Linked DNA regions of Alligator mississippiensis. The protein of the gene in region 1 interacts with the protein of each later gene in a pairwise test. Links are inferred from orthologs where the notes say so. Each region holds a gene or a part of one and is shown on either strand. Other genes may lie near its edges.

What was found.
Region 2: the proteins of CDK6 (region 1) and CCND3 interact in binary tests that used the Homo sapiens proteins (3 or more experiments, as listed by UniProt). The link is inferred for Alligator mississippiensis from reciprocal best matches to the Homo sapiens genes CDK6 and CCND3.
Region 3: the proteins of CDK6 (region 1) and CDKN2B interact in binary tests that used the Homo sapiens proteins (3 or more experiments, as listed by UniProt). The link is inferred for Alligator mississippiensis from reciprocal best matches to the Homo sapiens genes CDK6 and CDKN2B.
Region 4: the proteins of CDK6 (region 1) and CCND2 interact in a two-hybrid assay, tested with the Homo sapiens proteins (2 studies listed by BioGRID, with this or other methods). The link is inferred for Alligator mississippiensis from reciprocal best matches to the Homo sapiens genes CDK6 and CCND2.

The regions. Positions count from the first base shown.
Region 1 is NC_081828.1:175,267,278-175,274,161, forward strand, and holds the start of CDK6 (cyclin-dependent kinase 6), read left to right. Parts: upstream 1-3,884; 5' UTR 3,885-4,349; intron 4,350-5,898; 5' UTR 5,899-6,166; coding exon 6,167-6,399; intron 6,400-6,884. UniProt on the Homo sapiens protein: Serine/threonine-protein kinase involved in the control of the cell cycle and differentiation; promotes G1/S transition. Phosphorylates pRB/RB1 and NPM1.
Region 2 is NC_081837.1:39,028,677-39,036,038, reverse strand, and holds the start of CCND3 (G1/S-specific cyclin-D3), read left to right. Parts: upstream 1-4,349; 5' UTR 4,350-4,485; coding exon 4,486-4,683; intron 4,684-6,798; coding exon 6,799-7,014; intron 7,015-7,362. UniProt on the Homo sapiens protein: Regulatory component of the cyclin D3-CDK4 (DC) complex that phosphorylates and inhibits members of the retinoblastoma (RB) protein family including RB1 and regulates the cell-cycle during G(1)/S transition.
Region 3 is NC_081826.1:175,502,681-175,510,314, forward strand, and holds CDKN2B (cyclin-dependent kinase 4 inhibitor B), read left to right. Parts: upstream 1-4,802; 5' UTR 4,803-4,937; coding exon 4,938-5,078; intron 5,079-6,591; coding exon 6,592-6,876; 3' UTR 6,877-7,121; downstream 7,122-7,634. UniProt on the Homo sapiens protein: Interacts strongly with CDK4 and CDK6. Potent inhibitor. Potential effector of TGF-beta induced cell cycle arrest.
Region 4 is NC_081827.1:142,428,045-142,435,921, reverse strand, and holds the start of CCND2 (G1/S-specific cyclin-D2), read right to left. Parts: upstream 3,004-7,877; 5' UTR 2,296-3,003; coding exon 2,101-2,295; intron 434-2,100; coding exon 218-433; intron 1-217. UniProt on the Homo sapiens protein: Regulatory component of the cyclin D2-CDK4 (DC) complex that phosphorylates and inhibits members of the retinoblastoma (RB) protein family including RB1 and regulates the cell-cycle during G(1)/S transition.

The DNA.
Region 1 (6,884 bases):
TATTAGGGGATTCTACAATTATCCATGATTTGTAGTACTAACTCAACTGATTTATGTCTATTCTGGCAAAACATTACTTAGTTTTTCAACTACCTAAGTGTTTTTGTGTGCAGGATTGCCTTACTAAAAGGGTAAAAATCATACCTTGTCAGCTAAAATGGATGTTGCAAGTTAAACAGACATAAATAGGGAATATTGAATAATAGTGTATATATAGCCACATTCTCCCCCCAAACCTCTGTTATTTCTGAAGAATAAGTTTCATTCTGATTTGCATGAGGATTTCCTGTAAAACCAACTGTGTAATCCCCAACAAACTTTTAGCAGTTCCTGAAACAGAGATGAAACACACAAAACAAAACAATGCAGTGTGCATCTTTCTTTCTGAAAGTCTTAGACTATTCATAGCAGTTCTTGATACTAGCACTTCCAGTTTATTCAAATAAACTGTCGTATGCTTATTTCAGTAATTATATTACTTTTAAAATGCATTTTGTATTCACTAAAGCAACAAAAATAATTCGGGGTGTTATTTACAAGGTCATGCAATCATACTTTAATTAAGATTGCAAACAAATAAAATATAGAATTGCACTCAAATACCTTCCCATATAAGTTTCTGTTTAAAAGCATTGTTTAAAAGCTGAAGAGAGTTCAAAAAAGATTCCACTAAATAAAACTGGTAGATTTAAAGAAAAGTTGAGAATGCAGTTTTCTCCTAACCTTTCAGTCAGAAGAGCAATTTTTTCAGTACAACAAACAATTTCATAATAATAAATGCAGAATTACCAAAAACTCAGTTATTCTGACTTCATTTCTTAGTAATATTTAATGGACTTTTACAATACCAGTCCCCCAAAATGGATATAGGGTTTTAAATAAATATAAATCAATGAAGACATTTTACACCATAAAAACAATGTGGGTTATTCTCTTTGTTGATACAAAGTGAAAATAAAATGTATATTTAAAACAGAAACACTGAAGTATAAAATGTCTCTGGTATGAAATTGGAACAATAAATATTTTATGGTTTTTTTCAAAAGAAGACCAAAAATGGCTTTTTTCACATCCAATAGCATATTCTATTTTTCTGAATTTTACCTGTTTCACAAAGCAAGTTATATGAAGCAATTATGGCTTTAAAATCTATTGCAATTGTTTTAAAGTTCAAATAGTATTTAATTAATCAAATCCAAGCAAGCAATTTTTTTCTGGGCAGAAAGGTTTGTTGTGTTACTCATTATTACTTATTGCTTTTCACACTAAATTATCTTTTGAAATTCCTGCCTGAAATCAATTTTTTTTCATACAGAAATCTTATTTTAGGTAATTTTCAAGGTTTATAAGTCTCCTCTAAGCCCTGGACAGTAGGACTAAATTACCTGGCCTCACAAGAAAAGAGAGAAAAGAAACACTTTCTTAACACTTTAAAACATTCTCGAAAATATTTCTGAAATCACAGCTAGCTTTGTAAAATGTGGCATCTTCATAATGTAAAATGGTGTAACATTAAACATTGTTGACTCATTCAGTTTGGTAGCATAACACATTTATGTTTTCAGTAGTCAAATATACTGAGATCATTACAAATTTATGTAGAGAAAACATTTATACCATATAGAACCATCACATACATTCTTGAGCTGGGTAGGCAGAGTGCTTTGAGGAGGAGTTTTATGAACTGTCTGCAGTGGTTCTTAATGAAATATTAAAGTTGCAGATTTCAATACAGAATAATTGCCATGGAAATGAAAATCCCAAATAGCAACATTATCCCTCCTGCATCCATTAGTAAGTTGTACACTTAAGTGTTTAAAAGATTGAGTGTCTGGTCAGGCAGACTCCAAAAATAGGGTTCCAGTAGAGTCCAAGCTAGAATTTTAAAATATCTAGAAATCTTTTTGGAAAGGTGCCAGCAGGTATGTGGCTCCTCTTTCATGCAAAGAGGGGGAGAGAGAGATTTTACATCCCATGTACCTGTGGATTTGAATCTGGTCCAAAGTTGTTCAGGAAAAAAACAGTTCAGTAAAAAGGTCAAGAATGTTAGTTAGAAAATTCTAAATATTAAAAAAATGAAAAAGAGGTAATGTCCATGTAGTTATGATATTATGTCAGTTGTGCATATCTAAAATTATTGTTTAAAAGAAGTTTTATGTATATTTAGATTTTTAGCTCATTTTATTACATACCTTAAGTTCTGAGCTTTCTAATTTTTGCTAGGATTTGTTCTAACAAGTTGTCACTACCTTTTGCAAAATTAACATTACATTTAACAAAGTTTATTGTATAAGACTGCATATTTAATTTTAAAAAATCAGATTATAAATCAGGTTCCTGCAGATCCTTCAGTGCTTGCATGGATTTCTGCGAAAATTGGTACACAGGACACACAACTTTGTTAAAGGCTTCCAGATCTCCATTGGTGTAAGCTGACCCTTCTGGAAGATGAAGCCAGGGGTCTTTCTCAGCATCCTCATTCCAAGTGATGCTTTGAAACCACTCAGGAACAGGGATGGAGAGTGCCAATTTATTAGTCTTCATCTTTGGCATGAACCATTGAATCCATACCCCAAGCTTTGTTTCAGCCAGGGGACTTAATGACAGCTCAGAGGACCCATGAAATAAAAAAAAATTTACAACAAAAAACTGTTTTCTGTGCATGTCTCTCGGACCCTAAGTCTTTTAATCACATAAGATCTTATGTACATAAAACTGCTAAGTCAGCTTCAGCAGATCAAGACCTAGGTACATAACATCCTATATACCAGTGGCTTCTGCTGGTAAACAGAAGGAATTGTTATGCATAGTGCCCTTTTGGCAAAAGAAGTGAGAGATTCTGGGTCTGCCCCGCTCCCCCCGTGGCCTGTGGGCTGTAAACTCCAGAACCGCCCAGCGGTTCCTAGACGCATTTGGTGGAATGGAGCAGCTAGGGCCAAGGGAGAGGGTGAGCTGCCGATACCTGGCCTTTCTCACTTGCAGTGGGAGAGCAGATTGGCATCTGCATTTTTCCGTGGAAAATATTTCCTCAATTTTCCGCAACCCACTTTGCCCAAAGCCTTCCCTGCCTCAGCAAAGCGGTCAGCCTCGAGTTCCGTCCCCCCGCCGCCCTGCGGGGTAGGGGCTCCTCTTGACCGTTTTGGCTTGCACAAAACCGCCCCCCGCCATGATCTCGCAAGCCTTTATGGGGGGGGGTATAGAAATCTAATCAACACAGTAAATAACTGCTGCATCTGATACATAACTCCAGCAACACAATAAATAATTGCTGCATCCTATTTGGTCTAATAAAAGGTATCATTTCTGAACCAATTTTTGCACCTGAGTAATGAAACTTCCTGCCAGGACTGGCTCTCCTGGGAGATTGGTGCATGGAAAGTCTCAAGCAATGAAGATTCAGCAGTATTGATTCCCAGCTTGTTTGCACAGAGCTTCCCCAGCTGGGCCATCAAGCATTTTGGGTTGGGTTGGGTTTTTTGTTTTGTTTTGTTGTTTGTTTTGCGGGGGTGTTACAGGCAAGGCGATGCTGCAGGCGGTGTTCTTGCAGCGCCGAGCACTCGGGCAGGGCGCACGGGGCCGGGTGGGTGCCTGCCTCCCGCCTCGGCGACCCTCGCGGTATGCGGCCGCCTTTGGCAGAGGCACATGAAGGATTTCATTGAGTGTGAAGACAGAGAGCAGAGACAGAAAGCAGAAGGAGGCGGCCGCAGCCTTTGTAGTCCCGGAGGAATGCGGAAATGTTGAAGCACTATGTCAAACTTTTTTGAAACGGGGTCAAGTCACATTCAGCCAGCGTGGGAAAGCCAGGGGGAGGGAGGGAGGCGCTGCTCCCAGGCGCGGAGGGAGGGAGGGAGGGAGGGAGCGGGGGCCGCCGGGGCCGGGGCCGGGGCCGGGGCCCGGCCGGAACGAGCGGCGGGGAGGGCTGCGCCAGAGCCCCGCGCAGGGCGGCTGCAGCCTGCCGGCTTTGATCCGCTGCGGGCTGCTTTAACACGGGACTTTCTCTCTCTCTCTCTCTCTCTCTCTCTTTCTCTGTGTCTCGGGCAGGGGCGGGGGCAGAGCAGGCCGGGCTCTGGGGCGAGCCCGAACCCCCGCCCCGCGCGCGAAGGTGCAGCCCGGCGGCGGCGGGAGGATGCGAGCGGAGGGCAGCGGAGCCGGGGAGGAGCTGCCTCGCTACCTGTGTGGCCCGGGCCGGCGCGGCGGGGACCTGCCGGGGACATCACCATGTGAATGAAGGCCGGGTGCCCGCTCCGGCCCGTGCTCCGCACAGCTGCATGGGAGGCGCCTCACAGGGCACATTCCTGCCCGCGGCGGCGGCTTAGCCGGGCTCTGCGCGCCCCGCGGGGCGGCCCCAGGTAATGCGGGAGGCTCCACGTGCTGCCCGCACCTCGCGGCGGAGGGGGTGGGGGGGTCCCCGGGGCTCCACGTGCAGCTGCGGCCGCCGCTCCCAGGCCTGCCCGGGGGCTTCCCCGGGGCGCCCGTCCGAGGGGGCCGCAGGGGCTCCGGCAGCGCCGCGTGGGGCCGGGCCCGGGCCGGGCCGGGCGACGGCAGCGGCGGGGACCGCGAGGCTGCTCCCTTCCTCCTCCCCAAACTGCCCCACCACAGCGCTGAGGTGTTGGACCTGGTGCCCCGCACCCGCCGCTCAGGGCCCTGCCTTCCCCGTGGGTGCAGAGAAGGGCTCTCTGTTGCCTGCAGGAAAGGGGGTGTGCTGCAGCAAAGGGCAAGGCAGGTAACATGGCAGCGAGGCACAGGCCTTGCCTTTAACGGGCTGCAGGAGGGAGCCGCCAACAGGTTGGCAGAGGTCAGGGGTTGTTCGCGGCACCCTGAAGTTGGAAGAGCACAACGGTATAAAGTCAGCTCTTCTCTCCAGCCTCCCTGGCCAGGCAGGGATGGTGTTATGAATTCAAATACTACTTCGGACAACCCCAGGCTTGAGATCAGTGCCCTTTTGTGTAAGTTTGGTAGTGGCCCGAGAGAGTTGACTATCTCTCTGGCTGCACCCGTCGCACGGGGGGGGGCGAGAGGAGACACAGAGAGGGGAGAGGACTTGCCGAAGGTCATGCAGCAGGTGGGTGAAGAAGATGCTTTCCAGGCAGTCGTTGTTGACCAGGCTGGTACTCAAGGCTAGCTCCCCTCACCTGTCCGGTCACACGGTGCTCAGCACAATCCCACTAATCAGTCTTACAGTATTGAAAATGCTTGCACTGCTGTTTGCATTTACCTGATTACAATTATTAAGATTACATATTGTAGGAAACACCTCATCACAAAATACTTAGCAATATATGCTCATGGCCATATTTTTCCTCTCAGGCACTGCAAGGCAGGAACTGGCTCTTGTTATATATTTGACTGCTGCCTGGCACACAGGGAAATAGATTTGAGATCAGGACTTTGAAATGCTATCTTAGTTCAGATAGGTAGTTGATAATAAATTGCTGGGTATAGCCCAAACATTGCACCATAAGATGTTCAGCAGACTTGTAAATTGTACACTCTTGATCGTAAATCCCAATCATGCATGCTCTGCTATGCATCCTGTCTATCATAAAGTGGTGTGTATCCCATTGTCTGGTGTTCAGTGTAATCCCAAAGCATACAACCGATCCACTTAGCCCTATCGTAATACTATGTGCAAACCATATTAACCACACAGTGTTGTGCTTACAACTTAACCTATAATGTCATTTATACATCTATAGTCCTACTGTGTTCCACATATCCTCACTCCTCTGCATATTATGTTTTGTATATACCCATTTAATCCAATAGTGCACAGTAGTTTATTTTTTCACAATTATTAAACCATACAAAGTAATGGTGAAGTGAAATGTGCATGTTGTGGGCTGGAAGGGAGGCAACCCAGCACAAATGAACCTCTCTTGCTTTGTTTTTGTATTTTAGATCATACTGACTTTACACAGACAATGATCCCAAAGGCTGTACGATAATTGCTGAAGAACTGCCAAGAAAGAAGGCACTTTGAGGATTGTACTGAAGCAGGAGAGGGGAGCAAGGAGGGAGACCATTCAACTTGTTCCTCTAGTAGTAGCAGCTCTGCATACACTTTTTGTGGGACTGTGTCAGTGCCATCGAAGTCCTAGTTTGCAGGCAACAGCCAGTTCAGCAGTACATCTGAGACTTCAGGGACAGAAGGAGAAGCTGTGCCAGCATGGATAAGGACAGCACGAACCTGACTGACCAGCAGTATGAATGTGTGGCTGAGATTGGCGAAGGAGCCTATGGGAAGGTATTCAAGGCCCGAGACTTGAAGAATGGAGGTCGTTTTGTAGCGTTGAAGCGGGTACGGGTGCAGACAAGCGAGGAGGGGATGCCGCTCTCCACCATCCGTGAGGTGGCAGTACTGAGGCACCTGGAGACCTTTGAGCACCCCAATGTGGTCAGGTGAGGAGCTGGAGTAGGAAACTTGGCTGGTTCTAGATTTGCTATGTTAATTGGGCAGACAAAACTTTGGGTTCATGGATGGGAGTGGGTGCCAGTTTGGGTGAATTTATGGAGTATTAGATTGAGTACATGAAATATTGCAGAAGGTTTAGCTTGCCAGACCTCACCTCATCCTTTTGCTCTGTTTCCCCCACATATAAATGCCCATTTCCAGAGGTATAGATGTGTTATTTAAGTATTTGAGTGAATAGGCAAGGAACCATAGAGACACTGTATGCCTTAGGCATAAGCAGGAAGAAGGAAAAGGGAGCAGTTCTTTTGTCTTGGGGATCAGCTCTTCCCAATGGAACAGATTTTTGCTGCCCTATTCATTATAAAAATGGGAGTGGATATTGTAATGTTGGCAGAAATGTACCAGATTTACTCAAATACAAGGCAACCCACCCAATTCTTAGATTCTACACACAGAAAGTGTTATAAATTTG
Region 2 (7,362 bases), on another chromosome or scaffold:
TAGCAGTAGCTTATTCCCAAGCTATACAGGTATTAATAACTTGATGGTCCTATCTGTGTAGCTAAACCAGGATTATACTGATATAATTGGGTTAGTTCACAATCCCACCCTAGTATGGAGTAGGCCTTCTTCAGCCAGCTCGTTGCATCTGCTAAAGGACATCTAAGCCTTGCTGAGGTTCTGTTCCCTTCCCCCTCCACATGATATCACCACAGATTAGTTATTTGTACTCAAGTTTGACCAAGTTAAAGGAAACAGAGTGCAATGGTTGCCAATATTAAGAAATAATATTAGGAAATACATCCCATGTGTCAAGACTGCGCTCAAGCTAAACTCTCACTGCAGCAAATGGAAATCTTTCCTAAGAAAAGGATGATTAAGTTAGGAAAAGGACTTCAATGGGCCCTTTAAGGAGGCAGCTGTTTAAGCAGGGTGTCAGGAAAAGGGATTTCTGGGTTTTGTTACCCACTGAACTGCTGTATGACCTTTTTAACTCCTCTGTGAAATAGCATTCACTTCCATAAAATGGACAGAATGTCTACCTCCGGAAGGTGGTGTGGGTTCTTATGTTTAACTAATTCAGATTTCTACAGTGCTTTGAGATCCCAAAGTGAAAAGTTTTGGGGGTATTTCCTACAGCATCTTTTGTATAGATTCACTAATTTGTGAGAGTTTGGTTTTTATGTCTGATATGTAAGTTAATTAGTTTCATTATGATATTACCGATGATGCTTTAGTTGCAATTTGACAGAAAAAAACAGTTTCACGTTGACAGTTCAGAGCTGGGTAGAAGATGGCTGCAAAATATAAGACATCGGAAAGGCAAAAAATGCATGGCTGAGATATTACAATTGTGTCTATGGACAGATGTCACGGGACAGATCTCAGCTGATGCAAATCAGTGTTGCTCAGTCAACTGCGTTACGCCAGGTGAAGATTTGGCACAAAGTGCCCTTGTTATATGAACAGCTTCTATATCACTTTAGCCTTCTTCCTATGACGGTCTGAGCATGAGTTTGATACCAGCTGAGAATCTGATCCGGTAGCCACACTGGCCCTTTAAAAGCTCCTAATCTTGGTGACTCTCTTAAATTCATCATCAGCATACCGAAATAATGATCCCTCTTGGTGATTCAGCAAAGAATAACATTGCTGGTCTGAGATCCTGTAAGTCTAGAAACCCTCAATTTTTTTCTTTTACTCTGAAGGAATTTCCTTTTTTTACATTGCTGAGTTCTCTGCTACTGAGGCCAGGAAGTTGTCTATCTACAGTCAACAGTGACCAAAATTTGGTTTTCCTGGAATTCTCTCCCTTCCCTCCACACACCCACACAACAGGCTTTTCAGGACTCCTGCAGTCTGTAATTTGCCTTGCTAGCCTGATAATGTGGTTGCAGAGGCATCAGTTTTGCTAAGTCATCATCTGGAAGGAACACTTTCTTATGCCACAACCTTCATTTTTTCCCTTATGTCCCCTGTCTACCATTGAGCCTGGCTGCAGCATATTCCTAACCGGCCGAATTAAAACCACCCATGTGGACAGTGAGAAATGTGAGAGAGGCCATTGTGTCTGGGGTATGGCCTGAAACTTTCAATTTCAACAGGCACAGTCCAGACAACACAGGGACCCAGAATCCAATGGGTCCGATGCGGTTTTCCTTTGCTTGGCTAAAGAAAATATGTTTCGATCTATTTTTACTGCAAAACATGGGATTCAAGGTCCTTCTCTTTGCTTGTACAAAACAAAAGATGCTGCCCACAATAAAAGAATGGGGGACATCCTGGATTAAATTCAGCTGATTGGTCTACAAAAATCTCTCTCATGGATTCTTCAAATATTTTGTGTCCGCAGACCTAGGAGGCTTTTGTGGAATGTGAAGAAAAGTTACAACAGGAGGTAGCTTTTACAGTTCTGTCACCCACTGAAATGCCTCTTTTTTCATTTCAAGACTGGGGTTGAATCGGTGTCATTCAAGCCTCCACGTTTTGCTCATCCCTCTACTCCTGTTCCATGTTACCTTGCTATGGGATTTTTTTAATGCAATCAGCATTATAATGCTATGACATTGGCATCTTTAAAAATGACTAGATCCCATAAGTATAAGAGATGAGTACAGAGAGAGGGATGCTGAAGGTCCTTAGGAGAGGTCATTCAAGCTCTGTGAGTCTGGATTGTAGGAACAGAACCTCGCCGTGTGAATTGCATCAAATTTGTAAAAAATGAGAGCATTTGAAAGCTTTGATTTAAAAAGAATATGGTATGTTCTCTTTTGACTGTTCAGATTAAAGGTTTCCAAAGAGGACAAAGCGCCTAAACCAAGGAGTGCAAAAAACAGTTCTGTTCATTCTTGATGAAAAGGTTGTGTTTTTAAATGGCTGAAGAAGCACAAAAGTGTGAGGTGCCTCAATGTGGTAGTGAATGCAGATGGGGATAGATGGACAAAAAGGATCAACCCAGACATCTGCTAGGTCATTTCAGTTTCTGCCTCCTATGATCCCATGTCCATAACTTGTAATTTTAGACACATTTCTAAGAGTACAGGTCACAGTGGATACTCCATCTTAAGACACTGTGCATGACATTGCTTCCAGCACACCCATGTTTTCCATGTAACCCATTTCTCCCAAATGTGGAGGCTTGAATATACATATCCCAAGGCTCCAAGCTTTTGGCCACACTGATCTGAAGGCATCTGCCACTTCTCCACACACCAAGAGTGGACCTTGCACAGTAACGCTGCAGTATGAATTGCTACACGTGACCCTTTGCAAAACTGCATAGTAGGAACTCCTCGTGAGGCATTTAATCCTAGACCGGATAAAGGAGTAGAAAATATGGTAGAGAACAAGATTAAGCTGACCAAGAGTATGACTTAGATCATCTAGAAGTGATCTTCTACCACCAACATCTTTAATTATCTAATTTATTTCTTGCTTCAAATTGCTCATGCACTTGCCATATGACTGCATCATATAGCAGCAACCTGATAGCAACCAAGAGGCTCATACAAGATGACCATTCCCTTCTAACACCGTCCCTTTCAAAATCAATAGAGCAGTTTGCAAAAATTGGCCCTTTGAGGTGACATTACCCAGATTCATTTTCAACCTAATGAAACTGTTTTTGTCATCTTTAATTTTTCAAGCTTGAAGAAACTCCCTTCAGTTGTTTTTCTAATACTGTAACTGTGACAGAAAAATATGTTTTACTATCCCTGTTCTGAAGAGAGAGAAGAATAAGTGGACAACTGCCTCAGGCACTTCTTTAGCTGTTAGGAACACTTGTATTGCAAAACCATTATTCCATGGGGTTAAAAATGCCAGTGCCTTCAAAAATCATATCTACTCAAACTCCCAGCATTGCCATCTCCCATCATAGAAAATGAAGGTCGGGAAGGCACCTCAGGAGGTCACATGTAGTCCAACCCCTGCTCAAAGCAGGACCGTCCCCATCTAGATCATCCCAACCAAGGCTTTGTCAAGCCAGGTCTTAAAAACCTCCAAGAATGGAGAGTCCACCACCTCTGTGGGGAGCCTGTCCCAGTGCTGCACTAGTGTTAGCAATGCCAGGGCAGCTTTTATGGAGGAAAAAGCCAGGTGCAGACAACCCTTCAACATACATGCAGCTGGTTATTCTCAGAACATCGACGGATTGTGAACAAAAATAGCTACAGAGTTAAATATGGAAGAGAGAATAATAGAAATCAGACATAAAAGACTGAAATGGGAACTCTTCTGAAACCTCCAGGATTTACCCGTTTTTAACCCAGTGAATCGGTATCCCGCCATCACAACTCAAGAGCTTTGCAGATCCTGCAATGTGATGGTATGACATTGTGGCTCCAGCAGACCACATGGCTGCCTAGGTAGGACAATACCGAAGAAGGGCAGTCAATATAATGCACGCTCAGAAATTGCAACGGCTGTAAAACCCCTGCAAGCTAGTCCTTCCCATGGGTTTTTCAGTCCAGTCCCTCTCTTTCCTAGCCCTCTGAGCTAGGGGGCTCTGCGTTTGAATGGATGAGACTGATGGGTGGCATTCCTGCACGCTTTCACGCCCCCCACCCTGCACCGGGGGGGGTGCGGGGGGCACCCCTGGGGCAGGGGGAAGCCAGGCCCCCCTCCTCTTGGCAGGGATCAAGGGCTGGGGAAGCCCTGGCATCCAGGAGCCTCGGGGCCGGGGGCAGCCGCCTCAGACACAGCAGCTGCCCACACTACAGAGGTGACCGAACGGGGCTTGCAGCTCCCTGCCCCCTCCCCTGGGGGGCGGGGCCCGGCGCGTCGCCCCGCCCACTTGGAACGTTGCAACTTCCCGACGTTCTAAAAAGCGCAACAGTGGATCCGGCACTAGCAGTGCCGCAGGGGGTGGGCTGGGCTGGGCTGGGCTGGGCCGGGCCGGCTCCGCGGCTGCTGCGTGACCGCCCGCCCGGCCGGCTCCTCGCCTGCAAGCCCCCGCTCCCCGCCCCTGCCCCGGCCCCCGGGCACATGGAGCTGCTGTGCGCGGAGGGGCCGCCCCGCGTGCCCCGGGCCGGGCAAGACCCTCAGCTGCTGGGGGACCGGCGGGTGCTGCAGAACCTGCTGAGCCAGGAGGAGCGCTATACCCCGCGGGTCTCCTACTTCCAGTGCGTGCAGAAGGAGATCAAGCCCTACATGCGGAAGATGCTGGCCTTCTGGATGCTGGAGGTACGGGACCCCCCCTCGGCTGGGTCCCTGCTCCCTCCAGCTCTCTGTGCCCAGCCGCCGGCAACTTTCCAAGCCTTTGCCCGTCGGGGGTGGGAGCCCCACCCCGGCTTCCCTGGAGCCCAGCTCCCTGGGGGGAAGGGTTTGGGGGTGCAAAAGGGGGGCAGAGCTCCACCTTGGGGCCTTGCTGGCTGCAGGCTCAGCTGGTGGGAGCAGGGGGCATAAAACCAAGCCCCCCTTTGCCCTATGGGGTATAAGCAGCTATAGAGAAGGTGATGGGCAGCAGCTGGGATGCCTCCCCTCCCTCCATGAGCTGCAGCAGGCAGGGGGGAAGTCCTGCAGGCAGTATGTGGCAATGCCTCTAGGGGTCCCCCTGCTCCCACCTCCTCCCCGCAACCGCTGCTGAAAAAGTTCCCTGCAGCATGTGGGGCCTTTGGATGTGCCTGGTGGATCACGGGCTTGGGCCCATCACGGAAGAACTATAATCCTCCCTTAGGAGGGAGGCCGCAGCGGACGCATCGGGGCAGCTGAAGAGAAAACGGGGATGGGAGTGAGGTCCCAGGTTTAAAACTAGTGGTTTGATGTGGGGGAGTGCGGAGCAGAGCACACCGGACAGTGCTCTGCAGCGTGTCTAAATGCTTGGAGAAGGGTTTGTCAGCGCCCAGGGGAGAGCTCAGCTAGAAGATGCCAGCCACCCACTTCCCCAAACACAAAAGCGAATGCAGCCCCCACCCCGCATGACTCACCTGGACAAGGAAAGGCACCAGAGCCACTTTTCCCTTGTCTTAATTAAAGAATGAAACGCCTCAATTCAGAAGCAAATGGGAGATATAAAATGTGGTTGAATCCAGCCAGTCATTCTCTCTACCCCACTGACTGTTGCCACACAGTACCCAGTTACCTTTAAAATAAAAGAAGTGCTCAGCACTGCCTTTTCTATCATTGTTCTGTCTGTTAAAGCCCCTTCCCTTGCCATCGTTTCTTGGCTGGAAGCTGGGTTGCAGCCTGATCCTATGAAGTGCTGGAGTCAATGGCAGCAGAGGGCCCTCAGCTTCTCGCAGGACTTGTCCCAAAGAAACGTCAGTCCCTCTAGCTTCTGATTTTAAAGTGTTTGAGCAATTAAGACCAAATCCAGGTCCTATTGAAATCAATGGCAAAACTTGTATTGACTTCAGTGGCACCAAGATTTAACACTAATTTTTATGATGATGATGATAATTTTATTTTTTCATTACAGGGGGGAAAAATGCAAGCAAAATTAAACCTCTGAAGTATGAGCCTGACTTTATTTTTTAAAGAGAGTCTCTGTGCTGGGGGTTTATGTCAGCCTGTAAAAGGTACATAGGGAAGCAGAGTTAACATTTGAAAGAGAAGGATGATATTAGTTGCGGCATGAGGGAAAACCTCAGTATTTTTGTAGCTACGGTAAAAGAAGGAAGTACATTTGATCAGTGTTTCAGTGGTATAGTCTTGTGGCTAGGATTGAAATTCAGGACTCCTGGATCCTGTATTTGACCATGATACAAGTATGGTATGCACAGAAAGGAGCTCGGAGCTTGGGCAACTTGGGTTCTCTGCCATTGACTTTGTGACATTGGACAAGCCACCTCATTTGGGTACCATCACCCTGAGGTGTCCAGCTTGAGACATGCTGGGACTCACTTCAGAGGTGCTGAGTCCTCACAATCGGTGTGAGCAGGAAGTGATCAGGATCACTGGTAATCGGGCTATAGGCATCTCACGTCAAAGATGGAGGCAGTCACAAGACCTTACACTTTTATACACACACACACACACACACACACACACGATTGTGGTCTCAACCTCTGCCTCCATTACACCCATGCTACCATTTTTCCTGCCTGCCATGTAAAGACAAGTAGTAGTGTTTGAAGGCATCGGGCTAAACTCTGTGCTCGTGTCACACATGAAGTGTTGAAGTTACAACAGCAGAGAATTTAGCTCTTACTATTTAAAGGTCTTTCTGATCACCAGATATACAGCTGTACAGATGTGTAGTGTACTGTAATAATCAGAAGCTTTGAAGTCCTGCTGCAGATAGAAGCTGCTGAGTTCTGCACATCTAAAGCCTCCTCTCTTCTACTTGGGTTTTGTTAGGTATGTGAGGAACAGAAGTGTGAAGAAGAGGTCTTCCCCTTGGCCATGAATTATGTGGATCGCTACCTATCTTCAGTCCAGACGCGGAAAAATCACTTGCAGCTTCTAGGGGCTGTCTGCATGCTCCTGGCTTCCAAGCTGCGAGAGACCATGCCCCTGACTGTGGAGAAACTCTGCATTTACACAGACAATTCCATCACGGCGCAGCAGCTCCTGGTAACCACCCCACCCTGCCTGATAGAGCCCTCACCTCACTCCCTGCTCTTTATACCCTCTAGGTGCTGCTCCCTGGCAACATATGTGCATTGTGGATCCTGTCTTCCTCCTGTTTCTCCCATTCAGCCTCTTTGCTTCCTAACCCAAGTGGACACACTGCCTTTCTGAGATAGACCAGCACCCTTCCTCAGACCTGCCCCCCCTGCAGATGTAGTGGTGGTCTCCCATTCTGCCCGCTAGATGCAGAATTGTGACACTGAAGTTGTAGAAACCATTCTCTATGCTTCAGTGCACATCCCATCATTGAGCCTCATTGTGTCCCATGTTGGGCTCTGTGCCTAGCTTCCT
Region 3 (7,634 bases), on another chromosome or scaffold:
TTATCTGGTTGCCATGGGACTGGTTTTTACTACCGTTTCAATTGATGTGCCAACTTGAGGCATTTGTGGCATAATATATGAAAGGGACACCATTATGAAAAATTCCTCTTTTAGGTTTTTAGGTGGGGGTTCGTTCTCACATGATTAACTTTGAAACCGGAAGAAATCACTTTGAACTGTGCAAATGCATTAAAAACGATAGTGATTGGGCATAGAAACTGTCATTCATCTCAGGAACAGCAGATTCAAAACAGAAGAAAAACATAGTGGCTTAACCTCTGTGGCAAAGCAGTTTCAACTAAAAAAAATCAAATTCCCTCTCATGTGATGCAAGAACAAGCTTTTGTGATTTTGCTCATCTTTATGTGTTTTCAGCTGTTATTCTTTTGCAGTTTGTTTGTTTGTTTGTCTGTTTGTTAACTAAATTGGACAACGCTTTCTGCTTTTTCATTGTGATGGGTCTGAATATTGGTGCTTTTATAGGTGTATATCTGCTTCTGAAACCAGAAAGGGGAATTCTACCATATATGCCTGTAAACAACAATCTGGGAGCAACAGTCCTTGAACTAAATAAGTGAGTAAAAGGAGGTCATCTCTTTCCCATATCACTTTCAATCTGTTCTTATTGATTATGACTTCTTGCTGTAGCATTCAGTTTAAGAAATGTAGATACGGGGCTGGATTTTCAGTTATATTCAGGTTCCTTCACATTGCTCTGAAATTGTAAAACAATTTTTCAGGCCCCTGCATATGCAGCATTCTGGCCATAAGGACTTTAATGTACAAGAGAATCAGGCAATAATATTATTGGTTAGTTAGTTGTACCCTGAATCTGGCAGAATTTCCATTATTTTAATATTCACTACTGATGCTCTTAAAATGACTTCCTGGTGACTAAATATTCAGTACAACAGCCTCCTTATTTTTTTTCCCCTTTAACTGAGATACACTGTGACTTAATTATCTGAAAAGATTATGCTCCTTTTTACTAGGTCTCTCTAAAATGTATACATCTTGGTTATTTCTAAGATTCTTATGACTTTAAGAGCTAAAACAGATTTTAAATAGAAAGTAATAAAGTCGCCAAGAACAAGAAAATGAGCAAAACATGGGAAAGCCAAAGCAATGGAATCATAAATACACTATTAGATAGGTAGGACTGTCAGAACTAAATTCAGTAGGGACCAAATTCTGCTCTCTGCTCACACTAAGCAATACATTATCCTGCATGCCAGTGGAACTGCTTTCAGAATTCAACCACTTAGTGGGTGCATCTACGCATGCACTTTACTGTGGAGTTGACTAATTATCTCTGTAGTAAAATTAATTAACTCTGCCATAGGACAGTACTGTTGGAAACAGTACTATCTTACAGCATAGTAATTAAGCCTGCTGCCAGCCTGGGACTGTTTCTCCCCAGCTCAAACTGCTGCTGTCTCAGGCGCATGTGTAGACTTCTGTCACCTTAATCTCACATGTAGATGCACCCAGTGTGAGCAAAAGGACATAATCTTGTCCTAGATTGCACAGTCCTGTTAAACAATCTGCAAAACATTGCAAATAAATCTTCAACAAACTAAATTATTTGTATTGGCAATGCTTCCTGAATATGTCCCATTAGACCTGTCACATTGTAACTGGTAGAAATAATTGGCTCCATCTATCAGTGGGAACCAAGTCATATCTTGAAAAAATGCACGTTCCTTTACAAAGGGATAGAGTCAGAAAAGAAATAGTAGTTTTTAGTCTCCCGTTTAATCATTTCATGAGAAGAGAGGTGTAAATAACAGATTTTATGGTGTTTTGATGAGCCGCAGATGAACACCATAAGTGGTAAAGTGCTGTACAAAACAGGGAAAGCATTACAAATTCCTTGAGTCATCTGAGAGAAGTGCATATGTATCCAAGAAGCCCAGGCTGTGGTATCAAGGGTTCTTATTCCCCCACATGTCTCTACATAGATGCACATGCAATGGCATAATGTGGCTTTTATTTCCTCAATGTGTTTGTATGACACTTAGCAAAGGGGAGGGGGGCCTTAGGGTCTCTAGGTACTACTGTAATGTAAATTAATCATTTTCTGCCTCCTTCAGTAGGGTTCATAATGTTAACCTAATGAAAACTGGAAGATTGATGTAGACTAGTCCAAAACAGCACATTGTTATTGTTGGCTCAGTAAGAGCTGTTTTTATTTTCAACTTTTATATTTTCTGTCTCAAGATCCTTAACTACAGAAGTGAAGAATAGCTGGGATAATGTCTTCATCTAAAATACTATTTTCTCTTTTTAAAAATATCCCTATCCCATCTCCTCTCCTGGATTCCCTCTAGTACTATCCCTGCAACCCTACAACTCAGTAAAAGTGGTAATGTAAGAAAAATGTTGTTTTCTCACCATTCAGTACAGATCAGTTTCTCACTGGAGTGAAAAGAGAGATTTATAGACAGTGGCTGCATTTTTTTCTAGTCACCCTGGAAAGAAGAGAAGTAATAATACCCACTTTAAAAAATAAGCGACTCTCCCTGCCCACCCCTCAGTTTGGGGGTGGGGGATGTCTGGCTCTCCAATCCCTCCACTTTACAGTGGGATTAGATTACACAACCACATTGAACAATTGCCAGCAAAGGAGCTGTCCTTGGTGCTATCGACTCCCCCAAAGATCCCAGCCACTATCCTGTCAAGGAATGTATCCATGGTTACAAATCCATTTGATGAATGTCCTAGCTGTCAGAACTAAACTGTGTTCTCTTTCTGTCTTTCACCCTGTCTGCTGACTCTCCCCATCTCTCCCTTTCTCTCTGACCCCCACACTTCAATATTTTTAAACAAAAATATTTAAAATGTGCTTTTCCGGCCTTCCTTTCCAAAGCTACACATTATATTTACCTTTTAAATGCTGCATATAGAAATGTTTTCAGCTAATATATGCTACCTCATGAAACTTGTTTGAACCTTATTTGAACCTTACTGAACCTTTAAAAATATGTTTTTTAAAAAGTGAAAAAGTCCTCCCTATGAGCTCCCAGTAAAAGAGCTCTTAAGCTTGTCTCAACTTTTTCATGACAAGCATATCTATGCCATCATATTTCATTGTATTTACATGAATTCCCTTTATCTTTATCACCTTAGGCCAATAAACTTGCTGCTTGCCAAGCTCCCATATGTTCTGCTAGGCTGAGAAGTGAACAAAATCTTGACACATGAAAGTGAAACTTGAGTATTCTCCAACAGCTGAATTTATTGAAAAAATTCAAAATCTTTCTTAGTCTGGCTTTTTAAAATAACGAATTTGGGAGGAGAGGTAGAGACATTATTGCTATGACAAGATCCCAGCTGATACTGAATCCCATTGTATTGTTTCCACCTACAATCACCTCAACTGGCAAGACAAAAGTAGAAGGAAAAACCTATAGGTAAAGTACACATTGCATTGCTTAGTGGACTTCTGGAAGGTACTCAGAAGTGATGCAATCATGAAAGGACCTGAAGAAAAAAAGCCAAGGGGGGAAACAGAGCAATGACCCGGCTTTTCTAAGGATACAGATCACAGCTGAGATCTCCAGGGTCCTAATCCAGGCCCAGAATTTGAATCGCATAGAGTTGGAAGGGACCTCAGGAGGTCATCTAGTACAACCCACTACTCAAAGCAGGACCATCCCAAACAATCTCATTCTAGCCAGGTCTTAAAAAACTCCGAGGATGGAGATTCCACAACCTCTCTGGTAGCCTGTTTTGCGCTTTATTATCCTCCTGGTGATAACATTTTTCCTAATATCTAACCTAAATATCCCTTGCTGCATCTTGAGACCATTGCTCTTTGTTATCTGCCACCACTTGAGTACAGTCTAGCTCCATCCTCTTTTGAACACCCCTCAGTCTTTCCTCATAAGTCATGTACCTGAACCCCCTCACCATTTTTGTTGCCCTCTGCTGGACTCTCTCCAGATATAGCCTCACCAGTGCTGAATAGAGGAATAATCAGTTCCCTTGATCTGCTGGCAACATACCTACCAACACAACCCAGTGTGCTGTTAGCCTTCTTGGCAATAAGGGCTCACTGCTGGCTCATATTCATCTTATTGTCCACTGTAACCCCCAGGTCCTTTTCTGCAGAGCTACTGCTTAGCCAGGTGCATGGGATTGTTCCCTCCTAAGACTTTGCACTTGTCCTTATTCAACCTCATGAGATATCTCTTGGCCCAATCCTCCAATTTGTGTAGGTCTTTGTGAATCCTAGCCCTACCCTCCAGCAGATCTGTTCCTCCCCCCCACTCCAGCTTCATGTCATCCGCAACCTTGTTGAGGGTGCACTTGGCATCCTTCGTCCCCTAGGGCCAACGAGATAAGAGCCCAGCCAGTGCCAGACTCCGCCGGCCCATTCCCAGAACCGTTGCTTTAAATAAAGCCTCTCCGAGGGTGTTCTCCCCGGGCTTGGGGCTGTCAAGGCGCGATTAAGCCCGGCCCAGGAGCAGAGCTGCCTGTGTGGCAGGCAAGCAGACAAGAGCAGTGCAGCGCCCAGGCCTGCCCCGCCCGGCGCTGGGCCGGGGGGAGGCACCGGGCTCCAGCCGTTCCAGCGCAAATCTTCCACCCCCTTCGTGACCGCGCTGAGCGGCGGGGGGAGGGGAGTGGAGCACGCTCCACGGCGCATGCGCTGGTACTCCTGAGTCCCCAGCTGTTCCCCTTCTCTGTGACGTCACAGAGGCGGGCGATTCCGAACAGGCGCTGGGTTGCAGCGAGGGCGGGGCTCGGGCGCGGGCGGGGCGGCTTCGGCTGCTCAGGAAAAACAAGCCGGGGGCTGGGGCTGGGGCTGGGGCTGCCGCAGCTTGGCAGTGTAGGGTGAACCGAGGCGGGCTGGCCCCGAGGAAGCCTGGCACAAGTGGCCGGGGGGGCGCCCAGAAGAGGAGTCCTCCTGCTCCAGCCCCCCCTCGATGTGAGGAATGGGCCAGCGCAGGGGCATGGACCTGGGGCACGAGCTGGCCTCTGCCGCGGCCCAAGGCAACCTGGCCAAGGTGAGGGAGCTGCTGGCGCAAGGGTTGGACCCCAACGGCCTCAATGCCTACGGCCGGACCCCGATCCAGGTAGGGGCCGCGGCGGGAGAGCTGTCCCCAACGACTCCACTCGGGATCCGGGAGGCAGGAGCCCCCATGCCGCAGCCGGTGCCCCACCCTGCGCCGCTGATTCTCTCGGAAGGAGGCAGCGATCGCTGCTCAGCCAGCTCCGGTCGCGGTCCGCGTTGCTCTCGGTCCAGGGCGAGGGGGTGACAGCGGCTCCAGCTCTCGGGGGGAAGAGACGCGCGATCCACCGCGTGGAAAAGACAGCCGCGGTTTGCAATGCAATTTAAAAACCAAGTGAGCTGGGATCGGAGCCCTGCAGCCCCCGGGGCACGGGAGAGGAGCAGGGGCTTCGGTTTCCAGGCCAGGAGAAGTGCTTTGTGGGGGGTAGGTAGGAGACCTGACCCAGCAAACCCCGGCGTCCAGTAGCTGCACGCAGAGCTCTGCCTGTGCGAACGGGCTCCATGCGGGAGAAACTGCGCCTGTCTCGGCGCTGGCAGATCCCGCGCTCCAAGCCCTGCAAAAAATGTCCTGGTTTCTATGTGACTGCTCCGCAAGAGGCAGCGATCATCCAGGTCCGGCGCCAAAGCGGAAAGTACTGAACAGGCAAGGCATCTAGCCCGGGGCAGAAAACTTCGAGATCGATTAAAAACAGGACTGCGATCTTTGAAAGCAGTTTTACTTTTAATAATCTATTGTCCTTAGACTGAATTGATGACTCAAACCCACCACTCGAGCTCGTGTTTCAGGCTGCCCTTTCATTACAAGCGATCTGCCCTTCGAGGGACAGGTCGAGAGTGATTTCTGCACAAAGCGTGTACTGAGCCCAGCTAGATAGAAGCGAGACAGGAGGCAAACGAAATGGGGCTTCCCTGTGGGGCCCGCGGGAGCCCCTCAGTGCGGGGCAGGACCGAGGGGCCGCAGGCGGGGCAGGGTGCGTTGGTCTCGCCTGCTGATCGGGGCTGCAATGGGCAGGCTCCTGGCCAAGACGCCTAGGACACGGTCACCTTAAAAAGCAACAAGTCTCTAACCTCTCAAGTTTGAAGGTTAGCCCAGATGTTTTAAGCATGTATGTGTTGTGTCATTGGGGGGTGAGGGATTCTGCATGCCTTATGCTCTGTACTTGTCAGGAGTTCGTGTTCAAAGTAAACGCTTCGGAGTCAAAGCAGCTGGGGCTAGTGCGGGGTAGAGCGAAGGGCCCGCGCTTCCCTGGGGATCGGGCCGAGCTGAGCTGAGCTCGGGCCGTAGGGCAGGGAGCCGCGGAGGCAGGTGGCGATCTCCGCGGTTTCCAAGTGGGGTGGAAGGCCACGACATGCGGCACAGCCCCAGTCCCTGCCCGCAGGACAGTCAGGGCAGAGATTGGAGGCAGGCGGGATCTTCCCTACGAGCGTCCGGATTTTGGTGCCCCGACCCCTGCAGCCCCCACTCGGGTCCTGCGGCTCCGGGTCGTGGGTCCCAGCAAGGGAGGCTCTGAGGGGACCCCATGCGCACGCGTGGGGGGGGGGGGTGCCGCCTGCTGACGGCCGCTCTGTGCCCGCAGGTGGTGAAGCTGGGCCACACGCCCCTGGTGGAGCTGCTGCTGCGGAGCGGAGCGGACCCCAACCGGCCGGACCCCGCCACCGGCTCCCGCCCTGCGCACGATGCGGCCCGAGAAGGCTTCCTGGACACGCTGGTGGCGCTGCACCGCGCCGGGGCCCGCCTGGACCTGGCCGACCGATGGGGCCTGCCCCTGGACCTGGCCCGGGAGCACGGGCACCTGCCGGTGGTCCGCTACCTCCTCGCCCAGCCCGGGGCCGCGCCCCCGCCCCAGCCCGGCGCGCCCTGAACTGCAGGCTCCCGCGGCTCTGCTGCTGCCTCCCACCCAGTAATTTATTGCCTCTCTCGGCTGAAGCGCCGAGGTTGTAAATAATGACTCCCGTATCCCCGTGGCAGGGCCCTCGGGGCCTCCTCTCCTTGAACGCGGGCTTGTCTCCGCCGCTGGCTGCCTCAAACGCGCCCCCACACGCTACAGCCGCACGGATTCCGAGGAGAACGAGCTCCCACTTCCAGGAATAAACGACTGGGACCGAAGCCTGGAGTATTTCTTGGCCTATAGTTGTTCCCTCCGAGCACAGAGGACAAATGGCTCCGAGTCTCGGGGGATACAAACATCATATATATTTATATTATTTTTAAAGTGTTGCAGCAGGCCCCACATGACAGTCCTATGCTGCCAAGACTATGGTTGTTCTACAGAAAACCTTGCCAGGCAGTAGAGAGAGCTCCTAAATTCTTGTTTTCCCATAGAAAATGGGGTAAGAGAGAAAAATCTCTCCACCAGAATCTACTCTTCTGTTTCCTTCAGGAAGGGTAGGGCCGGCAGGGGGTAGCTAGTGATTCTGGTCTCTCATGATCCAGTTCTACCTTCTTGTCGTTGTTGTTTCTGCCTTTTAGTTTTTGTTGGACCCGCTCTACAGCTGAGAGAGATCCTTCTTCAGGTCACAAAAGCTCCTTTGACATCTCATCCACCAAAAAAGAGATCATCCCAAACCAAGCACATCTCCTGGAGCATTGTAGCCCTCAAAGTTTAACCCTATTAGCTTA
Region 4 (7,877 bases), on another chromosome or scaffold:
TGACAATGTAAAAAATGCAATGCTTTAAAAGTGGGGGGTGCCTTCCACTCCAGGAATCGCCTTAATGGTCATAAAGGGGGCAGAAAGGTCTTGAACTGTTGGAATAGTGTGTGGCACAAATGAAGGCTGTGGTTTAAGTTTGGTGGAGAGAGTGAGTGGGGGGAGGAGGCTGTAACCGTGGGGCGCACTGAAGGTAGAGGTCGGGGGGGCTGCTTACCAGCAGCTCCTGGGGCTTGATGGAATTGTCCGTGTATATGCAAAGCTTCTCCGCAGTGAGGGGGATGGTTTCTTTTAGCTTGGAGGCCAGGAACATGCAGACGGCCCCCAGCAGCTGAAGATGGCACTTTCTGGTGGGCACCACAGCTAAAAATCGGTCCAAGTAATTCATGGCCAGGGGGAAAACCTCTTCTTCACACTTCTGCTCTTCACAGACCTGCAAGCAAGGAGGAGGGGGAACGGGAGAAGAGTAGTGCAGGGTGGAGAGGGAAGAAGAACAACAAAAAATGAATGCTCACATGGAGGGGAGCAGGGAGAGGGGCTGCGGAGGGGCGCTGGGGCAGGGCTGCCCGGGCGGGGAGACTGGCCTCTTGCATTCCTGCAGTTCATTCACTAAGAAATGAATTCAAGGCACTGTGTGGGAGCCCAAAGACTGAGCTTGGGCAACCCCATGATGCTCATGTACCTATATATTTTCTTTCAACCTTCCTCCACTTTTCTTTCAGCCTTTTCGGATTTCGTCACATTTTCCAAAAATCCCTAAAAATCCCCCCGTGGGCCAGAGCCCCCCAGTTCCTGCGGGGCTGGCGCCCCCGGCCGCCCTCCCACCCCGCACCCCTCCTGAAAAAATTCCCCGCGCGGGGGCTGCGCCCCTGCCCCGCGCCCACCACGCGCCCGGGGGCGGTACGGGCTCCGCAGCGGCGGGTGGGGGAACGACTTCAAAAATTCACCAAAAATCCAAGCAAGGGGCAAAAGGGGCAGAAGTGGCACGAAAACCAAGCGGGGGGGCTGCCCTTCCCTGCCCGCTAGGGGGGCACCCTGTAGCTCCCCCCCCGGAGCAGATGGGCTGGGGGGAAAGAGAGGGGCCGGGGCAAAGGAAAGCAGGGCCCAGCGCGGGGCTTGCAGGGCTGCGGCTGGGGGGCGCGGGCAGCGCTGCCCGGGGTGGGGGATGGAGGGAGGGAGCGCCCCGGGGCGCCTCCTGATGCCCCCCCCCCCCCAGCACACGCAGCCCCCGGCCCCTGAGCAAGGTGGGGGACGGCTGGCCTGGGAGCAGGGCTGCATGCAAAGCAACATGGCGCAAGCAGGGCACGTCCTGAGCGCTGCATACGTGGGCACAGAGGCGCCCCTGGGGCAGCTCTGCTCGGGCGGGCACCCCCTGGCCCTCCGGATCGGGGCTCGGCCCCGGGGCAGCTCCCCGGCCCGCAGGGGGCAGAGCAGAAGGGCTGGGCGGCTGCACAGGGCCGGGCTCGGTCACTTTTCTGCACCCCCTTCTCTTTTTTTGCACCCCTCTTTGCAAGCTTTTTATTGCACCCTTAGGCTGCGCGCACACACACACACACACACACACACACACACACACACGTGCGCCATTTCACCCCCCCCCCAAAGCATGGAGGGGAAGGAGCCCCAACTCTGCAAATGAGATCATGCAGAAGGGATCAAGCAAAGCAGAAGCTTGCAAAAAAAAAAAGGTGGGGGGAATAACAGAGACTAGCAAAGGACCCTCCCCCCCTTCCTGCAGAAGGGATCAAGCAAAGTAGAAGCATGCCAAAAGGGTGTGTGGGGTGGGGGGGGGAGCTTGCAAAAAAAAGAGGAAAGAGAGGGGAAAGAAGGGGGGGGGATAACAGAGCCTAGGAAAGGTCCCCCCTTCTTGCAAAAGGGATCAAGCAAAGCAGAAGTCTGCAAAAGAGAAGTGGGGGCAACTTGTAAAAAAAGGGGGGGACAACAGAGCCTAGCGGAGGATCCCCCTTCTTGCAGAAGGGATCAAGCAAAGCAGAAGCATGCAAAAAAAAAGAGGAGGGCAGAGGCAGCAAAGAAGCCCCCTTGCTGCCCCGACGTGGGCGGCCCAGGCTGGGCGGCGGTGGGGAGGGGGTGCACACAAACCTCCAGCATCCAAGTGGCCACCATCCTCCGCATGAAGGGCTGGATGTCCTTCTGCACGCACTTGAAGTAGGAGCAGTGGGGCAGATACCTCTCCTCCACGGTGAGTAGATTGTGCAAAACGCGGTCGTCGTAGAGCAAGTTGGGGTCAGGGAGAGCCCTCCTCATGGGATCCACCTCGCAGCACAGCAGCTCCATGTTTCCTAAGAGAGCTCCCTCTTTCTGGGATGGAAAAGTTGTTTTTTGGGGGGGGAGGGGGCGGGGGTTGGGGAAGGAGAGGGGTAGAGGAGGAGGGTAGGTGGGTGGGAGGAAGGCAGCTCGCTCCTGCTTCCCTTGAAACTTCTCTCTCTCCCCCTCTTCCTCTCTCGCTCTCCTCGATTTCTAGCCTAAAGTTGAAGCGAAGTGACGCAAGGCGGCGGGGCAGGCAGCGCTGGCGCTCGCGGGGCTGGAGCGCGGCGGCCGGGCAGACGTAACAGGCGGCGCCTTCCTCGCCGCGCTCTGTCCTCTCCGGGGTAGCGAAGGGCCGGGAGGCCCCGGCGCAGAGGGGACATGCACAGCCCCCCTCTCTCTCTCTCTTACACACACACACACACACACACACACACACACTGTGTGTCTCTCACACACAGCCTCTGACAGTGTCACACACAGTCTCATACACACACACAATGTGTGTCTCTCACAGCCTCTGACAGCGTCACACACACAGTCTCACTCATACACACAGTGTCACACACGGTCACGCACACTGCCACCCACTCATGAACACAGCCTCCCACTCATGCTCATACACACCATGCCTCACACTCACACACACATCTCACGCTTATACACACACACACTGCCTCACCCACTCATATACACAATGCCTCACACTCACAGACACACACACTCACACAGACACACACTGTGTGTCACACACACACTCTCTCTCCCCCCCTTACTAGCAGCTTCCCCCTTCCTCCCTCCAACCTTCCCCTCCGCAGTAGCCAAACGGGGTCTCTAGTCATTTCTCGCCAGAGGAAACTGGCTTCCTAAACACCCGGGGCTTTCATTTTGCGGGGGAGGGAAGTCGTGAAATAGGAAATGTCCTTACTCGGTGCAGCTCTCGCAGAGGAGCTGGTGCTCACAGGGTCAGTTCTCCAGCTCCCCTCTCCTCCCCCCTCCCCAAATGAGTCTTCTCATCTGCAACCGGGAGACAACAGTCACACTTTGCTCGCCAGTGAAAGGCAAACCAGAAGGTGACAAAAGCAGAGTCCCGAGGCTGTGCTGGTGGCTGTATATACTTTGCAACGCTGATGTCTGGAGGGAGCTAGCAGTGGCCACAATGCAGCTTCCTCGACTGTGTGTGTGTGTGTGTGTGTGTGTGTGTGTGTCGCCCAGAGCTGCTCTACCAGTGCATGCTCACACGCTGATATAACTTTCTAGGAAACACGGAGGGGGGGCAGGCGGAGGAGAAGGGGGAGGAGGACTGGTCCCGACTTCCACCCTTCGCCGCTGCGCGCTGCATGCAACACAGCTGTTCTCGCTGCTGGCCAGGCCGCTGCCCCGCTGCACGGGCCAAGCCCTGGGCTTTCCCGGCTCTGATTCATTTGCTTTCATAGTCACTCATGCTCTGGCTTCTTTTGGCGTGTCTTACATTGTCCCCAGTTGCCCAGGGATGTGTAACTTTTCCCCTACGGACAGAGACGCACAGCGCCCCCCCGCCCCTCTCCCTCTGGGGCCAGGCAGCGGTGGGGAGGGTGCGTGGGGTTTGCTCGGTCCCTTGCAGCAGCTGGACCCCATAGGGTCCTATGGGGAAATGCAGATGGGGCTGCAGGAGAAGGAAAGAGGTGGGCAGGCAGGGGATACATGATGCCTGGGATGAGCCCGGCTTCTCGCGATCCCTTCCTCCTCCCCCCAAGGAAGATGGAGGTGGGGTGGAAGGAGCGAAATATCACTTTAAAAGTGTGAGTTGAGAGTTTGGGGAGCCGCTTCCCCTCCCTCTATTTGCATAGCCAATAGCTCTGGGGCTCTCGCTGCTGCGCGCTGATTGTTACTGGGCAGATTATATTTTAAGGAAGAAGCTGTCCCTCCCTACATCAAAGAAACTCAGCAAGGGGGGGAACCCACCCACCCACCCGCTACTGACCTCACCCGTCGGGGGGGATTGGGATTTCATCTCCCGCAACTCAATAAATCCATGCAATTAGCGACTGCGGCGTGAGCCTGCAGCCAGCCCCGCCAAACTGCGGGGCAAACCGAAACAGCCTGCCCTGAGGCTGGAGCTGCTGTGATAGATTAGGAATCAAGGCATAAAGACAGCTATAATAATAATAGTAATAATATCATCATCATTATTATCATCGTCGTCATTATCACTATAAATAGCAATATGATTATTGCAATCGAGACACACGGGACTGGGGGGCTGGTCATAAAGAGATCATAAAGATGATCATTATCATCATCATCATTGTCGTCATTGTCATTATTACTATCAGTATTCTTGCATAGAGGCACACAGGGCTGGGGGGATGCCCCAGACAGGTTAGGAATCAAGTCATAAAGAGAGTTATTAGTAGTATTATCATCATTATTATCATCGTCATTATCATTATTAATATCAATATTATTATAGCAATAGAGGCACACAGGGTTGCCCCAGATGGTTTAGGAATAAAGTCATAAGGAGAGTTATTATTATCACCATTATTATCAATATCAATATTATTATAGTATAGAAGCACACAGTGCTGGGGGGCTGCCCCAGACTAGCCAGATGTTGAGTCGATGATGCCCGTGTTTCTTTTATTAAGAAACACCCACCCGCCTCTGGACTCCAACCCACAGTGCGGCTGATTCTTGCTGGGCCGGCAGAGCCCTCCTCCTGGGAGACCCTCCTCATTTTCTTTGCCAGCTCCTCCCCAAAGGAGCAGGGGGCTGCGGCCGGGTGCGCATCCAGGAAACCCCGGATGCAGGCACCCGACAAATCGCAGTGGCACTACATTTCCCCCCCTCCTGCCTCCTTATAATGGCATCAGCTGGGCGGTTGTCAATCAAAAGTCCCCGGTAGGAAGCGGTGGACATAGCTGTGTTGTGCAAAGCCCGCATTGTATTCTGCCCCTGGAGAAAGGGAAAAGGGAGGGAGCTTTCCCCACCCCTGCACATACACTGAGGTCTATGAACTAGGAGCTATTAAAAAGCGGCATGCTACTCAATGAAAGGCTCTTTAAACTCCCCCCATTCATTCCCCCTTCCCTATTGCCCGCCTGCTCCTGTAAACAGGGAGCGCGTTGTGTCAATGGCACGTTTGCCTTCTCCAAACTCATCGGAGTGAATTCATAAACGCCCTGCTCCAGCTTGGGAGCCCGAACAAGCCAGGGCTTGTGCTTGAATTTGATTTTCACTGGGGAGCGGGGAGATGGATGTCCTTGTACAGATGTGACACTGATCAGGACAAAGGGGGAAAGACCAGTGACTTTGCAAAGGCGCTGGCTTTTCAGGAGGAAGAGGCAGGAGGGGTCCCGTGGGCACACAGCACACATCTGGAAAAGAAACGAGCACACATCTGGGGGTGTCCTTCACACACCAGGACAAGAAACGAGGTGACATCCCCCTCCTGTCATCTCCCCATGGATATTGCCCTCCAGTTTCAGGATCAAAGCGAGATCACTGGGGGGAGAAATCTTATTTTAAAAGCTTTCTTACTTCGGTGCCTCTCATTCAAAGTATTATATTTAGTTTTTTTGTTTTTGTTTTTTAATTTTTTTGTTGTTGCAAAAATGCTCCTCTCCCCGCCCTGGGAGCAAAGAGTTACCCGACTTCATGCCAGGGCAGGGACTGCCCAACCTTTCCTTGCAAGCCACCAAGTCCAAGCTCCTGCTTTCGGGTTCATGTCTGAGCCGCTAACGTGTGGTTCTCATTTTCCTCCGTCGGGTCGAGATGAGGGTTTTGTTTTGACTCTGGGTGGCCACGGGGCTTGCAGCTATGCCTACACCCGGAGACGCACTTCTGTGCTGTGGAGCAAAAAAAAAAGGTCATTTCTCCTCACTGCTTTGGGAGTTTCTTGCTCAGTTTCAGACCAAAGCTGCACCAGCCACTTGGTTCGTAATGTGGTCTTTATGCCCATGGGCAATCCGTTTTTAGGCTGTTATTATTATTATTACTTTCTTAATACATCACATTTTGAGACAGCAGATGTTTTAACAGTCTCAGTTTGGAGATTATCGAGTGCCATATGTTAAATAGCAAGTCCCCCATCCCCCCCTAAAAAAAAAAAAAAAGAAACCCCCTTCTCGCGCACACACTCCCTTCTTTTGGCGGGTTCAGAGCATAAATGATTCAATCAAACGCTGTCAGAATATATATCTTTGTATGCCAACACCTTATAAAGTTGACACCAGTGTCTGGAAAGGTTGTGGGGAAGATCCTCCCCCCTCCCAGTGTCTAAATCACTCCCTGCAGCGATGTCTCCAGTCCAGCTGCAGCCCGCACCATGCTGGATTTTCGCGGAAATTCAACGTCATCCTGCCAGCTCACGTGGGAATCATTTTTCCTCGGGAAAGCGGCGCCTATTGCTGCTGCTGCTGCACAGTGTTATAGTATGTGATGCTGGAAGCCACACGCTCTGTACTGGAGGGGGTGCTGTGCTGCTCTTAGTGCTGTTGCCATCCTGTGAAAGGCAGCGATCTGATCAAAAAAAGCGATTGGCATCAGTTTTAGGAACGTCCTCCTCCCCTGCCCCCCCCCTTGCAATAATTTTCCATTCACTTTGAGTACCGTTATCCCTTTATATTAATAATCAGGAGCAGAGCAACTATGAACTGGACCAGATGCTCCTGATTAATATTAATCCTAACCTCTATAAAACTATGTTAGGGGCTGGAAGGGACCTCCCTTTATATTAATAATCAGGAGCAAGGTCCCTTCCAGCTCCTAACATCTATGAAACGATGAACAACACAGTGATAAAAATGCTATTTTATTATTTGCAGGGTTTTTGGTTGTAGCTGTGCTGGTCTAAGGACATAGGCAGGTAAGGTGCTTTGGGTAGATGTGATATCTTTTATTAGACCAACTGAGTAGGTGGAAAGATGTTCTTTGCAAGCTTTCAGGCACAAGCACCCTTCTTCAGGCATAGGGAGTCTCTGTTGTTCTTCTGAGATCGCCAAGGAATGAATCGAGCTAAAAGTGTGACAGGAGGTCTAATAAAAGAGATCACATCTACCCAAAGAACCTTGCCATTTTATTATTTAATGTTCCAGAAAATAAGGGAGGCTCTTCCTTTTTTGCCTTCTGCATCTTTCTAGCTTAATTTATTACCCTTGTTTATTATTATTTCAACTCCTCCCCTAGCAAATACAAGAAAAGAGACAGTAAAAGGGGACTGCGGGGACACAGATCAAATTTTGAATCTGAACCTAAGGTACAAAATTTAGGAGGGTAACTTCTTTTTTTGTAAATGTCCAGTGGGCACAGATATTTTTCTTGTAGTTTATTTGTTTAAACCAAAGACAGCCTTCAGCAATGCTTGTAATATGAACACTGAGCAATGGAATACTAGGATCTGAAAACGAGGCTGACTGGAAGCCAAAAAGAAACAGATTAATATACTTTCATTGTTTAAGTTAAGAGAAATGCAAAAAAAACACAAAACAAGACCCAAATAGCATGATTAATGCCAAATAAACTTGAACATATTTTAATTTTGCTGATCTAGAATATTTATTTATTTATTTTTTAAATATATAGCTGACTTTTACTTTTTCTGAAACAAGCTTTGCGTTTTCTACCCAAAA